Linked DNA regions of Arabidopsis thaliana. The protein of the gene in region 2 purifies or fractionates together with the protein of the main gene of each other region. This does not show direct contact. Each region holds a gene or a part of one and is shown on either strand. Other genes may lie near its edges.

The links. The genes of interacting proteins can lie anywhere in the genome.
Region 1: the proteins of AT5G07030 (region 2) and AT5G45280 fractionate together in Arabidopsis thaliana (co-fractionation; one large-scale study listed by BioGRID). This does not show direct contact.

The regions. Positions count from the first base shown.
Region 1 is NC_003076.8:18,343,138-18,352,141, reverse strand, and holds AT5G45280 (Pectinacetylesterase family protein), read right to left. Parts: upstream 6,609-9,004; 5' UTR 6,436-6,608; intron 5,282-6,435; 5' UTR 5,281-5,281; coding exon 5,169-5,280; intron 4,796-5,168; coding exon 4,713-4,795; intron 4,605-4,712; coding exon 4,475-4,604; intron 4,377-4,474; coding exon 4,297-4,376; intron 4,158-4,296; coding exon 4,071-4,157; intron 3,978-4,070; coding exon 3,853-3,977; intron 3,762-3,852; coding exon 3,701-3,761; intron 3,614-3,700; coding exon 3,560-3,613; intron 3,469-3,559; coding exon 3,391-3,468; intron 3,300-3,390; coding exon 3,194-3,299; intron 3,111-3,193; coding exon 2,965-3,110; intron 2,768-2,964; coding exon 2,654-2,767; 3' UTR 2,447-2,653; downstream 1-2,446. Other genes in the region: AT5G45290 (RING/U-box superfamily protein), read left to right, coding at 50-250, 325-1,233, 1,315-1,521, 1,615-1,763, 1,862-1,972, 2,068-2,131. UniProt on the Arabidopsis thaliana protein: Hydrolyzes acetyl esters in homogalacturonan regions of pectin. In type I primary cell wall, galacturonic acid residues of pectin can be acetylated at the O-2 and O-3 positions.
Region 2 is NC_003076.8:2,181,139-2,189,362, reverse strand, and holds AT5G07030 (Eukaryotic aspartyl protease family protein), read left to right. Parts: upstream 1-3,390; 5' UTR 3,391-3,645; coding exon 3,646-4,170; intron 4,171-4,671; coding exon 4,672-5,152; intron 5,153-5,401; coding exon 5,402-5,763; 3' UTR 5,764-6,035; downstream 6,036-8,224. Other genes in the region: AT5G07020 (proline-rich family protein), read left to right, coding at 7,079-7,246, 7,492-7,629.

The DNA.
Region 1 (9,004 bases), about 16 Mb from region 2:
GTGTCAATGATGTAATTTTAGCAGAAAGTTGTTTGCTTTTGAGAAGAAGATGGGATCTGGCCGGAGCAAATCATGTCTAGGCTCGTCGGCGATGGCGAGAGAAGCTTCTGACGTGGCTCAACCTCCTCCGTCGTCTTCTAGTGGTGGTGGAAGGAGAAGAAGATCAAAGAGTCTTTTTTGTGGTCTTCACTCTTCTTGTCTTGCTTCATCTTCTACTTCTCATTACAGTGATGATGATAATGATGAACAGGTCTGGTTTTGATATTTAATTTATTTTGGTCAAATCTGAAATTAGGTCAAGTTCATGAGTTTTGATTTCTTCAGGTGTGTAATGGATGGATGAGGAAGAGTCATGGAAGTGTTACACGGCGTAGAATGGAATCGAGAAGAGATGCATCAGATTGCTATGATAAAGAATTGAAAGATGATAAGAAATCTGAAAACGAAAGACATTGTGATGAGCTTGAGCTTGATGATGAGTGTGGTGTTGAAGAAGAAGAAGAGGAAGCTAGTGTAAGCAATGTACAGATGAGAAATGTTAGCGGTTCGATTCAAGAATCTTCTACTCCAGGTCGAGTTTTTTCGCATTTCAAATTCATTCCTGGTAACATAAGCTCTAGACTTAGCAGAGCTTCAAGTTCAAGATCCTTCAACACGACTTATCCAGTCTCTTCTTCTCATAGAGAAGATGGTGTTACTTCACCTTCAGAATCTGCTATTAGGCTCAATGATAGAGTTGAGTCTCCGAGAATTCCTGTGATTGACAATGTAGTTAGAGATATTGATGCCATGAGATTTGGGGAAGATGGTAGCTTACGTTCTCCGAGAGTAGTTAATGGTATGGATAGTACTTATGCTGGACTTCTTGATAGAAGACATGTTGTACGAGAACCTTCTATTGAGCGCAATGTTAGATTTAGTAGAACTCTGAGTGTTGGAAGACTCCGTGATAGAGTTCTTCGCCGATCTTCACTCTCTGATTTCGCATTCCGTCCCTCGCCACATCAGGGAGAAGAAGATACTGATCTCTTCTCTGCTGAAACCGCAGCAGCAGAGGATGCTCCTGTGACTTCAACGTCTATACTAAATCGTTCCGCTTCTAGCATTCGAAGGACCTTATTCGGCATTCAGGATCATGAGACACCAGCTGCTCTTGTGAGAGAAGGGAGGTATCAAGGTTTATTAGAACACAGATCAGATTTCCTTGAAAGAAGGAGGAGAATAAGATCTCAGGTTTGAAACTCATTGATTCTCTCTTCCTTGATGTGTCTGATCAACTCAAGATCTAACTAACTGATATAACTAATTCCACAGGTTCGCGCTCTTCAAAGATTAGGAAGCCGGTTTGAGAATGTCGCAGTCCATCATGATAGATCTTGTGTCTTATCAGGTCAAGATCAAGCAGGTCGCTGCACATGCCGTGCAGTTACTAACCGTGGTTCGACAACAGCAACAACCGATGAAACAAATGCAAGAGCTAGCATCTCAAGGATAGTATTGCTAGCTGAAGCTCTCTTCGAGGTAAATACATGTTTTCGGTCTCCCTACTAACAGCTTTTTGCCACTATCTTTCTTTCTCATGTATGCTAAGGATCTACAGTGCATTCATTTTAGGTTCTTGATGAAATTCATCAGCAATCTGTTGTCTTATCCTCTCAACAACCATCAGTATCATCTATAGGATCTGTTCCTGCACCTAACGACGTTGTGGATTTATTACCGATAAAACTTTATACTAAGTCACAAAGCGAGGATCCATCACAGTAATGCATACTAAATTCTCAGATCTTTCTTTTGCCAATTGTGATGCTCAAAAGTCTCGAGACCTAATGGTTAAACATGTTTTTTCCTGGAACCTCAGATGTTACATATGCCTTGTGGAATATGAAGAAGCAGACTCTATAAGGACACTTCCTTGTCATCATGAATTCCACAAAACCTGTGTAGATAAATGGCTCAAGGAGATTCACAGGTATGAATGTGATATATAATGTGAAGTTTGGTGACAACTAATTTTCCGCCTTTTTGGTGTGTACTAGATTATCTGATGATGTTTTTATGGCGAAGCAGAGTATGTCCGCTGTGTCGAGGAGATATTTGTAGACATGATCCATCATCGGAACAACATTGATTACAGTCTTATAGACATAATGCTGAAAGATTTTGATTCTACAAGAGACCAAGAACATTCATCGGTTTTTGCCTGCAACTGAATCAATATTGTTGTGTGTTTGCTTTTTGTTTCGTAGCTTACAATGGAAAACAAAAGTGACAGTTTAAAAGATGTAAACTTGTATACCAATTTGATCCAGCATATCTGTAAGAAAGTTAATCCATTGATGTTGTGTGTTTCATGAGCATCTTTGTTTCTGTATTGCAACTTCTGTAAATGTAGTCAAACTTAGTAGCTTATGTTCAAAAACATATTAAAAAAACCTTAATTTATAAGATTGATTCTTTATTAAAAAGAATTTAAGAAATTGCGAACCCAATAATAAGAGAGATTGATTATATATAACAGCTTAAACGATTGTAGAAGGGCAAAGGATTTTATTTATTCGAATGAAATTGTATCAATTATATTATTTTACTTTTAAATTTCAAGAACAATATTCCAAAGATGAATAAATTTTAAGACATCAATGAATAAATTTTAGTCTTCAGTAGATACTGCAGGGCAAGTAGGGTTGCAATTAAGCGATGAACAATCTACGTTCTGAAACGTACTCCTCTCAAAGAACCAATCTCCAACCGCCTTAGCCATTTTCTGAAAATAACAAATCCAAAACAATAATGAAAAATATACTACATATTTATGTTTTATTTTCAGGTTTATGAAAGATTCTAAAAAGTCTTAAATGTCATAGAAACCATTTGTAAATTTTTATAAACCCTTCTTAGATCAAAAGTTTGTGGTATTTTCCAATATTATTTTTACTTTGTACAAGAAAATCAAGTGATTACCGTATTCGCGACTGTGGGACCTTTGTCGCCGGACCAAGTGGCAGCGCTTCCACCTTGGCAATGAGCATGGCACGAGTCCAAGAACAATCCGTTCGTCGTCGCGGATCGAACAGGCGCCAACGCAGCCAACACTTGGTCTCTATATCCTGAAATATTATAATAAACCAATCAGTTTAGTCTAGAAGATATTAACCAAATTTGTTCATTAGTTCCGGTAGGTAAAACATACCTTGAACGGTTTGAAGCTGAGCGGCCGTACACTTCTTAAGATCAAGCTTACAAGTCTTCCATGCTTTGCTTTTATCAACAGAGGTTGGTGCCAATACATTCTTGATCTGCAAAAAAAGGAATAAAATTTTTAAATCCAAATCATATCTAGTGTTATTATTTCTACCGAAAACAATAATCATAAAAACAAAATCGAACCTGCCAAGAATCGAAGGCGGCATTGATGACGAAAAGCGGTGTTTGTAAGGTCTTAGCAACGTATTGAGGGAAGAAACACTGTGAAAATATAAACATAAGCGTTTATACAATATAACGAACTCGGAAAAATTTATGCCTTGTATATCAAGTATGTTTTCGATAAATTTACCAAATCAGGCTTCATACTTGAGGTGCAAGAAGCAGGTAGACTCTTTGCAGATCCCTGTAAATAGTGATCGAGATTAGTCGTGATGGGATACACCTGATATATTAGAGAAATATGGCCAAGGAAAAGAGAGATGTATCCTACGTGGGTCGCTACGACTTTGGCGTAGTAGGATTGGATGTAAGATCCTCCAGTGATATCCTTACTGTTCAAACAACAAAATAACAAAGGTTGTTATTTGTTATCTAGGATGCTAGCAATTGTATGTGTGACTCTCTAGAAATTATGAATGTTACCCGTGGATGAAGTAACCAGCGTCAGAAACACATTTGACCTTAGCCGTTTTAGGGAGAGTGGACTTGAACTGGTCGCAATGTAGAATCGCAGCCAATGCTCCAGCTGAACAACCGGAGAGTATAGCCTGAAATTCATGTAACCAAACATTTTAAATTCCAACACTTCAAAAATTCACTAACAATTAGAGAAACATATTTGAAATTATCATTTTTCATACGTTTTGAGCGTTGCTCATTCCCTTAGCCATAAGATCATCGATCACCGCACGCCAAACCCTAGCACCGCGAAAGAACAGCTTGTGCGTCTGAAAATATTCAAATTACACTCTTAAAAATTTGGAACTTCAACTAAATCGTTATGTGATATTCAATATAAATGATTAAAAATCATCCATGTCCCCATTTCAAGTAGTTAAGTTTAACGGTAATGGTCAAGTGAATTACCGGATCAACAGCTTCTATATCACCGGTGAAAGATGAACCATCGCAATACCGAACTTTGATTCTATTCCAATTGTAAAAGTCTGCAAAACACCCAAAATCCGATTCAGTCTCATTGCATAAGAAAACAAATAAAAAATTCGCTGAACAAAATGAAAAGAAATAAAAAAGAATTGAAAACCTGGATTGGTGCTTTGCTTGCCACCCAAGATACCGGAGAAACCAAAGTCTTTGTTCATAAGCTTAGAAGAACCCTTCATTGTACTTTTACGTTGAACGCATGTAGCTATATCAGTGCACCATCCTCCTCCCTAATGTATTCACATAAGTATATACATATTTAATTAATATCATTATATTTTGTACGTAGTTATTTATGATAACATCTAATAAAATGAGAAAATAAAAATAATACTAACTTCCATATGAACGATCCAATTGTTCACTCCTGAGCCCGATCCCTTATCGAAATGGTATGCTGGCGCGCTACCATCCAAACACACTACAGAAAATATAATATATATACAGTAATTAGTTTTTTTTGTTTGTCAAACATAGTAGATAATTAGTTATAACAATGGTTTTATCTACCAAATTTAAAATCCAAGTTAGTCTCATGAGTAAACACCGATAAAGGTTTTATTAATCTGAAGTATCCAAGATAATGAACATTTATATTGAATACCATTTTGAAATTTGGAAGACACAATTTATTTTTTTGGATTTTTAGAAACTTGACTCAAGACCATTTCCAATGTTGGCTCTATTTTTCTTACTATAAAGCCTCATCATTAATTCGATTTTTCTATCTATTCATACTATCCATTCTCGAACCTGATTCCTAATAAGCAATTGAAAATAAAATTATTGTCTACCAGCTCCTTTAGCCACTGCAGATTCAAGATACGTGATGGGCACAGCTCTGGCTCCGATCACCACCACGGCTAGCACTAAAATGCTTGACCACATTTGTTTTAGCCACGTCATTCTATAACAAAAGAAAAAAAGTTATAACTCACAAATTAGTAAAAATGAACTTGTCCGAACCAAACATAATTTATTATGGCTATAATGACAAAATCGAATAGAATGTTAATTATCTCCCAAATAATGTAGAGGATTGACTCTAACAAAAAGCTTTGAGATCAAGCGATGTGTTCGGATCTCAAGTAATCGTACATGTGTTATGTGTAACTTGCACATGGTTTTAATATAAAGCTTATCTTTTGTTGTTTCTGTATCAAAGTAAGAACTTAATGAATTGAGAAAATATATTCTATATTGAAAATATCACCATTGGTCCATTCAAAAAGTTGGGGAAACAAAATGACCAGTCCATGTGTGTGCATTAGTATTTTCCTCGATTGATGTAATCCACCGAAAAATAATTTATAATATTATTACTATAAATACGAAATATATAAATAAATTCCCTTCAATATTAATCATATTAGGAACAACGACTTACTCATAGTTATAATCAGTGAAGACACGAACAACTATTAGAAGGATAAGTTGCAATATTCAATTAGTAATCTTTCGTCCCTATATATTTGTATTAAATGCTATTTAGATGGTACAATGGTAGCTCTATGAACAATGAATGAATTAAAATGTGAGTGTATCCGAAAATACCCTTCTAGACCAAACTTAAACAGACCGCAATTCATGGCGTCGGGAGGGCCAAAATGAGAACCATGCATATGATGAGATTACGACTTATATCATTTTAAATTCAAAAACAATTTTGTTGAAACCAAACATTGCAATTTGTTGTAAGTGGATTATTGGACCGCCAACTAATTGGGGGAAAATAAAATTAAACCACTTCTTGGAAGAAAAAAAATGCCAAAAATAGGATTGAAATCAAAACATTGCAAGATCTTTTCCATCACGATTATATGACCGTAATTGTTTCTCTACTAATAGTTACTTGGTTAAATCCAAGAAATGACTCACAATTAACATATCTAGTTTTCAAAACATATCTAATAAGCTATGGTTGAGTAAGAAAATCTGAGTTTTAACTCGTAGATCAATATGAAAGAACTGGAAACTATCAAAGAAATAATAACAGAAACTTCATTTAAACAAATTCTAATAGAGACTTCATTTTTAGGAAAAGAGACGAAGAAGATTTACCTTGAGAAAATGACTCTTCAGATTCTTATTCACGTAGAGAAGAAAAGAAGTTTTTTTTTACAATGTAAAAATGAGTAACAGAGGACTCTTCGAGAGTAAGGTTTACAAGTTCAAAGAAAGCCATTGATGTCCTCTCTGTTATATAGATGGATACAGAATACCACACGTCGAAAGAAAACCTTTTTTTTTTCTTTTTCTTTTTTGCTTCATTTAATAAAAATAAATATAAAAGTTTTATTGTTACTTTCATGTATTTGCCAGGTCACGAGAATTCAACGTTAAAGACTCTCAAGAAAACTACCTTCGTAGTAATATGACCAGTATTCACATATCGTATATAATCTAATTCCTTTAAGTATTTTGTTCAATTTATTAATAGTTTCACATAAGAATATTACAATAAATAAACAGAAAAATGAATTCTATTTTTGTTTAGTTTATTATAAAGTTTTATGATTTATTATGAGGATGCAGTATTTCTTTTATACGTAGTAGTTGGTACAATAGCGATGACCTATATCGAAATCAAAAGTTATGTCTGGATGGAATCTAAGGAAGCTGCTGTACTAGTGTCCATATCAATTCGGCTCATGAGATGATTTTTGTCTTCAAAACTTTTAAAATTTGAAATTACATGACATTGAATTATTTCTGCAAAAGGAAATTAATTTGCCACGTGTGGTATTGTGTCGGTCCTCCTCCAAATGCACCGAATCAAGTTAATGCGGAATGCCGAGAGTTTAAGACCTAATGCTAATTTACTTACATTATTCTGACTTTTTGTCTTCCTCGTCTTCATAATGTATTCAATAACTTGAATAAATGAATCATTACTTTAATTTTTTACCTTCTTTCTCCACAAATGAATATTAGGGTAGAAGTTAAACAGATTTATATCTCTTCATTATATTTTTGTAAAAAATGATTGATATTGTTTCGGTGCAGAAGTCAAATTATTAAGTAGCTTACTATAATCCTTGAATCGGCGTTCTTTATCCTCAATTAAAAAGATTCTTTATATATAGAAGAACCATATATTCTTGTCATTGAGAAGGTTGTGTGTATCTCATAACCAATTAAAATAAAATGGAAATTTACGTACCAACATGGTGAATTTTTCAATATACGTCAAAAAACCATTTATGATATGCTGGTGGAGGATGTTTCATTATGAAGGTAGATTTATGATCAAAAGAACATCAAACTTATTTAAAATTGTTTGGATATTACAATTATCTGTCTATGTCTATAGGTATATTAGTATTTATTACTATAATTTTAGCGGACTACTTCAAGAAAAGAGAAAAATTATCTCATATTGATTAATGTATAGTTGATAAGTCTGTAATTAGTATGAATCTTGATGTAGTATGTCTAACTATAAAAATAAATGAATTTGGGAAAGATCATTACCAAATGATGTAAGAGGAAGGTAGGGTCCGTGGGACTAGGAGGAGAAAGGGATAAGGAAAGTGGCCTGGAAGATCTGTCGATTACAATTTACCAATTTTTAAAATTCTTTGTTTTTTCTCTAAACAGAAAAAATGAGAATTATGTTATATATTTCCAAAACCAAAACGCGTTTAATAATACAAGTACTAAATAATACAGAGAGAGCATATAGGTTTTGACTTTGACTTTTGAGTCACGACTTTGTTACATTTATTTGAACACATGATGTTTGTATTTAAATAATCTGAAAATTTTGAATATGTGATAGACCATAACATGTAGTCTATAATATTTAAATCTAAAGAATTTCAAAATCCGAGTTTCATACTAACCTTCCGAAATGTGTAGACATTTATTAGATTTTATTTTGTTACTAAAAACTTTTTTGAATGGTCATAAATAATTAAAACTACCATGAAAATTTTTAATCTGCCAAAGAGAATATTTAGAGTAAATCATTCAATCACTAGACCACCATCATTTAATTACCTACTTATATATATTTGTATTATTGAAATCAGAAATGAGTATGCGGAAGCGAAGCATTTAAAAATATAAAAACAAGTTTTATAAAATTTTTAAAAAGTGAATAGGTGTTAAAAGCGTATACAAAAAATTAAATCAAATAATTATCATATTAAAAAATATAATGAACCACAGAAGTCTAATGCATGAATTTTAAATACCTCAACTACAAATAAAAACAAGATAGTTTAGTTTTACACAATAAATAAAAATCAAATAGTTCAAAGCCAAAATTTAGATCACGATCTTCATTCTCATCTTCTTAATTCATCAAATAGAAATGGTTTCAAATTCGGTTTTAAAAACATCATTAAATTCAAGGTTTTGAAAGTTAATTTAATTCAATTAATTAATCATTCCAAGATTTATCAAATAATGATTCATGTGGTGGTCATATTTTTAAGGATGATCTTATAAAACTAAAGTACAAAATTAGTATGCAATTAAATTGCAAAATTAGTTTTGGTTTTTTATTTGTAAAAACAACTATCAAAAATATTTGGGATATTTTCATGTTTCCTATTTATATATGACATCAAATTTTTTAAATAGAAATGCAAACTTCAAAATAGAATTGTAATCTTCAAACGAG
Region 2 (8,224 bases):
AAAACAAAAAAATCAAAATCACATTTTTTAGCTAATTTTGATTATGATTGATTATTCATGAGGTGTAGAAATCGAAGAACCGTATCAAATTCCCTTTGGCCACATGTGACTGTGATCAGCCCAATATTTGTATAAACATATTTGTTGAATAATAATCTATATATACATTGGGGATTTTTGAAGATAATGTTGAAGATTTGAGCCATAATTCAACAATTAATTCAAATGGGTGGGTTTTACCCGGTTTAACTCTGTTCGGATCCTAGATAACATGTTTAATTCTGTTCTGATCTTGGATAACATTAATTTTTGGAAAAGTTACCTAAAAACTAATAATTAAAAACGAAAATTAATGATTTAATTACCAAATTTAATATAAACAATATCTCTAAACTAACCATATTTCTTATTTACCTTAACTAATTTTCTAAAATATTTCTACCTAATTTAAACATAAATATATAATTCTTCTTTCAATTTTATTTGATCTTATACTTTATTTATTTTAAATTTATATAAAATATATATAGTTAATAAAATATTATATTTTTTCTGAATATGATGTAATTCAAATTTTTTAAAACGGACATATATTATTCAACCTATGAAGAAATAATATGTGTACAATGTCCTACATCGCTTAGAAAAATTGGACAATGGTTCATATCCATATTATAAAAGGACCAAAATGATTCTGATTACGAATGAGCAGGAAGCTTGATTTATCAGGCGTCCAAAATTAAAATAGTTATCCGATTTTACTCGGATTTTTTATTTTAAAGAATTGAAACTTTAAAATGTTTCAAAAAATTATAAATATTATAACTTTATCAAAAGTTAAATATTATAATTTTAAATTTTTTTATAAAGTTTATCTTTAAAAAATGCTTTAAATATTTATAATTTTAAAACTTATAAAGTTTTAAAAATTATAAATTGAATTTTACAAGAAATTTAACATTATAAATATATAAAAAATATATTAATACGAGACGATATATTACAGAAAAAATCTTAAATATAACAATCAAAATTCAATGATGAATTTTGGGTCGATATTGTATTTTTTTAAGTTTCAAATTTTATAATATTGAAATTTATAAGAAAATGACAAAATTATGTTTAATTTCACGGGACTGGGTTATATGGTATGACGGGTTTGGGTGGATAATAATTACGATTTTAGAATGTCCCACATCGCTTAAAAAAATTGGACAATGGTCAAGAGCCATACTATAAAAAGGACCAAAATGATTTCGATTACGAATGAGCATGAAACTTGATTTATGAGGTGTCCAAAATTAAAATGGTTTGTTTACTAGGGTTATTTATTTTAAAAAATTGAAACTTAAAAAAGTTTAAAAAATTATAAATTAAATTTTACAAGAAATTTAAACAATATAAAAGATATTAATACGGGACGATATACTGCGAGAGAAATCTTAGATATAACACTCAAAATTCAATGATGAAGTTTGGGTCAATATTAATCTTTTTTGAAGTTTCTAGTTTTATAAATATTTGAAATTTATAATAAAATGACAAATTTGTGTTTAATTTCACGGGACGGGGTTATATGGTGTGACAGGTTTGAGTGGATAATAACATGGGATAGTATGCTATGGAAAAAAACATATAATAACAATCATAATATAATTATATAATCTTAAACACTAAACAAAATTAACAATATTAAAAAAAAAAAACTTAAAACTTTAATTTTTTTAAAACACATTTTGATTCTTTTATAAGAAATTTAAACATTATAAATATTTAAACATTATACTACGGGTGAAATTTTATAATTGACTGTTTGGGTTGATAAGAATTTGCGATAGAATTGGGAGTGAAATCCTAGAATGACAATTAAAATATAATTATACAATTAAATACTACCACGGGTGAAATCCTAGAATTGACGGGCTTGATTCGATATTAATATGGGATGGTGTACTACGGAATATTTTAGAATTGACTGGTTTGGGTTGATAATAATTTGCGATAGAATTATGAGTGAAATCATAGAATGACAATTAAAATAGAATTATACAATTAAATACTACCACGGGTGAAATCCTAGAATTGACGGGCTTGATTCGATATTAATATGGGATGGTGTACTACGAAATATTTTAGAATTGACTGGTTTGGGTTGATAATAATTTGCGATAGAATTAGAAGTGAAATCATAGAATGACAATTAAAATATAATTATACAATTAAATACTACCACGGGTGAAATCATAGAATTGACGGGTTTGATTCGATATTAATATGGAATGGTGTACTACGGGTGAAATCCGAGAAACAACAATCAAAATACAATTATACAATATTAAACATTTAACAAAATAAACAAATACAACTTAAAACTTTAAAATTTGAGTTATAAAATTTCGTCTAGCGGTGAATTGTACATTTAAATCAAACAATAGCATAAATTTATTAAATCATTCTAAAAAATATTCAATTATTTTTTATTTAATAAAAATATAGGCTCGCGGTATACCACGGGTTAATATATAGTTAAATGTACACTTTTAAAAGAAAAATTAATCACAAAATACATTACCCATGTTCTATTTTGTTGTTGTGATTAGAAAAAAAGTTTATTTATATCATGTGGGAGACAAGTATATTTTCCTTATTGTATACGCTGCCCATCATACTAATACCCCACAAAAGTAGTGGAAATCTGAAGAAAGTAACTTTGCACTATCGGAAGAGTAAAGAAACAGATGAATAATTTACATTACTTGCCGACACATCTTTTACAAAGATAAATATAAGAGTAATAATGGCATGCTTACAAAATACTAGTAATAACTAAACCAGCACCCATGTTTTTACCGGTTCGCATTATTGGAGATGCTGCAAGAAACAATAGGAACACATCTTTCTATTTTAGATATGATGGTTAAGAGGTGGTAGTGATTAAGAAATCATCTCGGAAACATTAAAGACAGTCACTCTTTGTGAAGGGATTGTTGGATATTTGAAAGAATAACCCACTTTTTATTATTTTAAATGGAGATAATATATTATCTTCGAAAATATGTTTGAGAGGTAAATGAAAGAATTAACATAAGAATGGAAAAGATTTCGAATCAATATATATCTTAGATTTTCCCCTCTAAAGAGACATTAGTTATACACACTTTACACACACAAATCATTCTAAAATCACATAAGTCAAAGTTTAGAAAGGTATATCATAAAAAAAACTTTAGAGCTCTGCAACTTGTTTGATCTCATATACAGTTTAAGTTTGTTGAAGGTCGAACTCTCGAAGGGCGGGATATACGATTTAAACATGTGGTTGTTGTATACTGGAAAGCGTTTTTTTAACGGATCATACAGTTAATTGTTTAGCATAATGTTTTAGATACATGCTTTAACAATTTATTGTTCTTATAGACAGTCCAAGGCAAACCTTTGTAATGAAAAAAATTAACATTACAAAAGAAATGTTAAAGTTAGAAACGAGAGCAGTTTAAATTTAAGCTAATCTTTATTTTACCGTGGATTCAAACTTAAAACCTAATAAGCGGAAATAATTATTGATTTGTATCATATAGTTAATTATACTTTTGATTTTATGTGCTTGGTCATTATGTAGCTCAGACCACTATATATACCCTTCTCATGCCAACACCATTTAATAACCCATCCAACCCAAAAGCATACAATACAATGTCTACTCTTGTTTTATTCCTCCAACTTTTTTCCATCCTACCATTAGCACTTGGGTTGAACCACCCAAATTGTGACCTGACCAAGACTCAAGACCAAGGCTCTACCCTAAGAATCTTCCACATAGACAGCCCTTGCTCCCCCTTCAAATCATCATCCCCACTCTCATGGGAAGCGCGTGTGCTCCAGACGCTGGCTCAAGACCAGGCCCGTCTCCAGTACCTGAGCAGCCTCGTCGCCGGGAGATCTGTAGTCCCCATTGCCTCAGGGCGTCAAATGTTGCAAAGCACTACATACATTGTCAAGGCTTTGATCGGTACTCCGGCTCAGCCGCTGCTCCTAGCCATGGACACGAGCAGTGACGTGGCTTGGATTCCTTGCTCCGGCTGCGTTGGCTGTCCTTCTAACACGGCCTTTTCCCCTGCTAAGTCTACATCCTTCAAGAACGTTAGCTGCAGCGCTCCTCAGTGTAAGCAGGTATATAATTTTGTACTTACACACCTACAGTACTACATATCTAATAAATATGTTTTTGGAATGTTTTTTGATTAATTTATTTTATCCTCACACTTACACTTTCATAGCTTCATAAATGAACCGGTAGTATTAAAAAAGAAAAAATAGTTTATGAATGTCTCACCATACTATATTGTAGTCAAATTTTAATATTAGTAACCTGCATTTGTTTTCATCATAAAGATGTGAGCATGAGAATGTTAATTGCTGCCCCAAAATGAAAATATATTTGACAAAATATCAGATCTAGAAATTTTTTAGTTGATATACAAAAAGGACAGTTTCTATTTTATTACGTGAAAAATGTATTTTCACAGAGAGTGGGTTCCACGTGGTTATAATTGATAATTCCACCCACATTCAAAGAAAAAACGGTCACGGGATTACAGAACCACTAAACACTTGACCGACACAGAGACACTGTACTGCATTAACAACAATTCACGTGAACACTTGCTTCAGGTACCAAACCCCACGTGTGGAGCACGCGCGTGCTCTTTCAACCTCACCTATGGAAGCTCCTCCATTGCGGCTAACCTCTCTCAAGACACGATACGTCTTGCCGCCGATCCGATCAAAGCCTTTACATTCGGATGCGTCAACAAAGTCGCCGGTGGAGGAACCATCCCACCACCTCAAGGCTTGTTGGGCTTGGGACGAGGCCCACTTTCACTCATGTCACAGGCTCAGTCTATTTACAAGTCCACTTTCTCTTACTGTTTGCCAAGTTTCAGGTCTCTGACCTTCTCTGGTTCTCTCAGACTCGGCCCTACCTCCCAGCCCCAGCGCGTGAAGTACACTCAACTTCTCAGAAACCCTAGAAGGTCTTCTCTGTACTACGTCAACCTCGTTGCGATCCGCGTTGGTCGGAAAGTCGTCGATTTACCGCCGGCAGCTATTGCTTTTAATCCTTCAACCGGCGCTGGAACCATCTTCGACTCCGGTAATTACTCTTGTCCGGTTTGGTTCCGGTTAGGTTTTAGTTTTCTGTTTCAATTGGTATTAATTTCGTATTGGTTTAGACTAAAAACATAAATCTTTAGTTAATTAGTGTATTTCGTATTGTTTTACACTAAAATATATACGTAACAAAATAGAATAATTTAGTGTATTTTATTCGATTCGGTTATTTTCAGTTATAATATAATTTTAGATTGGTTTGGTTATATTAACTAAACCATTTGCTGTGTAGGAACTGTGTACACGCGGCTGGCTAAACCGGTTTACGAGGCAGTGAGGAACGAGTTCAGGAAGCGCGTGAAGCCAACCACAGCCGTGGTGACGTCACTCGGGGGTTTCGACACGTGCTACTCAGGGCAAGTCAAGGTGCCGACGATAACATTCATGTTCAAGGGAGTGAACATGACGATGCCGGCTGATAACCTGATGTTACACAGTACCGCCGGAAGCACGTCGTGCCTCGCCATGGCTGCAGCGCCGGAAAACGTAAACTCTGTCGTCAATGTGATCGCAAGCATGCAGCAGCAGAACCACCGTGTCCTCATCGACGTCCCCAATGGACGGCTCGGTTTGGCACGTGAACGATGCTCTTAGAAAGATGAATGAGACAATAAGAGCCTACTCATATTTATGCAGAGACTTGTTTGTTTGTGTTATTTGTGTGTTTCATTTTTGTCTTGTCTTGCGTCGTTTGCTTCACCAGTCTTAGAGGGCGGAGGTGTGTAGCATTTGTGCTATCTAGTAATTTATGTTTTTAATTGTTCTTCAATTATCTAGAGTGTTGGATCTAAGCTAATCAAATAATGAAACTATATTATATTTCCTTACGGTATACAAATATACAATTGAACATATTAGGTAATTAGAAATACATAAAATTGAATATAATATTAGCACAATGATCTAATCAAATTTTAGTCGTTGTCTTAAATTGTTTATCGACAATCGATGTTCATCAATTGGCCCATCAGAAATAGCGCGACTAGTGGATATTTCAGTTCATAGTTTTCAAAAAGAATCCACTTTAAAGCTTGTATAGGGTTTGTCTGGCATGGTAATATGTATAAGACAATAATTTTCATAATTTTATCAACTAGTAGAGAAAGAAAATTGATTAAAAAAAAGTATGATTAAAAGAAAAAATATAGTTTTGAGTTTCAAACGAGTAATGTAGAAAGTGAAAACCAAAAGAGAATGCTACGCCAATTGCTTAAAATCAAATCAAATTTCATAAAATAAAATTGATAATGCGAAAGAGAACAGAGAGACAACAATCACATCGATCATGTAACCACCTAAACAAGTTCCACTCTGGTTCACTCCATTATGATGGTACTTGTATACAATTCTTTTATTCCATACCGGGAAAGTGTGATTTGAACCCCACACATGCTTAAGGTACAATACAATGGATAGTGGCTAAGCACTAGCACACAAGGTATTTTGGGGTCGTTATGATTAAACTATGGCAAAACTGATATAATTCGTTAATGTCTTTTTACGGGAAAATGAATTGAATAATGGAATATAAAGTGGACGAAGCGGGAAAAAAAAAAGCGATATGCGGAATATCTCTAGAAACAGAATAAAGCAGAAAAAAATCAAGGTGCACTAATCCATACAAAATTTTCCAATAATTGGATTGAATAACCGAATTTTAAATTCGTCATTGAGAAAACAGATCAGAAAGAAAACCGAATTTTATTCCGGTTTGATTTGAAATTGTTTCAATTTGGTTTGGTATAATTTGGAGTTAGGAATTTGTGGGTTTGGCAGTTACACGCGTAGGCTAGTGGAAAAGCCCACCACACATAACACACACACATCTTCTTCCTCTCTTTATCTTCTTCTTCTCTGTTTCTCTAAGAAGATAGAACAATCCCAAGATTCTCCTCTTATTTGATCAACCATGTCGAATGTCTTGCTATCCCCAAACGGCTACGTATTTGCATCGCCTAAACCTCTTGGCAGATTCATCAATTCAAAGTCCGGCGGACGGAAACTTTTCTTCTCCGTCGTTAGAGCTTCTTCCGATGATGCTGATTGTAATGCCGAAGAATGTGCTCCCGAGAAGGAGGTACTCAATCCCACCTCTGTATTTGTTTCATTCTCCGCTCAATTTTGTTTCTTTAACAAAACCCATGATGATAATTTTTTTGCAATTGGGTTGTTCAACATTGCTGGGAAATATGAGTTGGTTACTTAGAAGATTTAGTTTCGGAATCTCCAAAATTAGCTAATTAGTGAAACTGGATTATAAAGTGGGGATTTTTACAATTGAAATGATGTCATTGATGAGGTTTGGTGGGTGAAACGCAACAGGTAGGAACAGTGAGTATGGAATGGTTAGCTGGAGAGAAGACGAAAGTGGTGGGAACATTTCCTCCTCGGAAGCCGCGTGGTTGGACTGGCTATGTTGAGAAAGATACTGCTGGTCAGACTAATGTTTACTCCATTGAGGTTCGTTCCTCTTTATTTCTCCATCTATCTATCCACTCCACTCATCTCTACTTTTATTAGTTTAGGTTATACCTAAGTAAGTTTTAGTATCTTTAGGGAAGCACAGGCACTCCTTTTAGGCTCATAGTGTTTGGAGGGATACTGGTTTTTAGTTGAGAGAAAAAGCTTCAAACTTTGCCGAGGGAACAGGTTCTTATGATTCTGTGATAGGCATTAGAATGTAGTGGATGCATAACAACAAGATGAGATTAGGGGTATTTGACCAGTGGCTTGTTTGTGAGCCTTTTGGCTTTCAGGGAGTTAGGAGATCTCTTTAACCAATTTTCAATATACATTTGGCTCTTTCTTTGAGTTTGATCGTTGCTTCAAGGATAACAAAGAAAACTAGGCTTTCGATCTGATCAGTTTTACTGTTATATTTTGTCTCGTTTGAAATTAACTTTTTTTTGGCTTTTCTTGTGTGTGTGTGTGTTTGTTCCATAATTCTGTCATCGATCTCGACCTCCATCTCCAAGAAATATGCATTAGCTTGCAACAACATGTCATGTAAACCCCGCATCTTCTTGAGATGGGGTTCTTGATCTAATTCGATTGG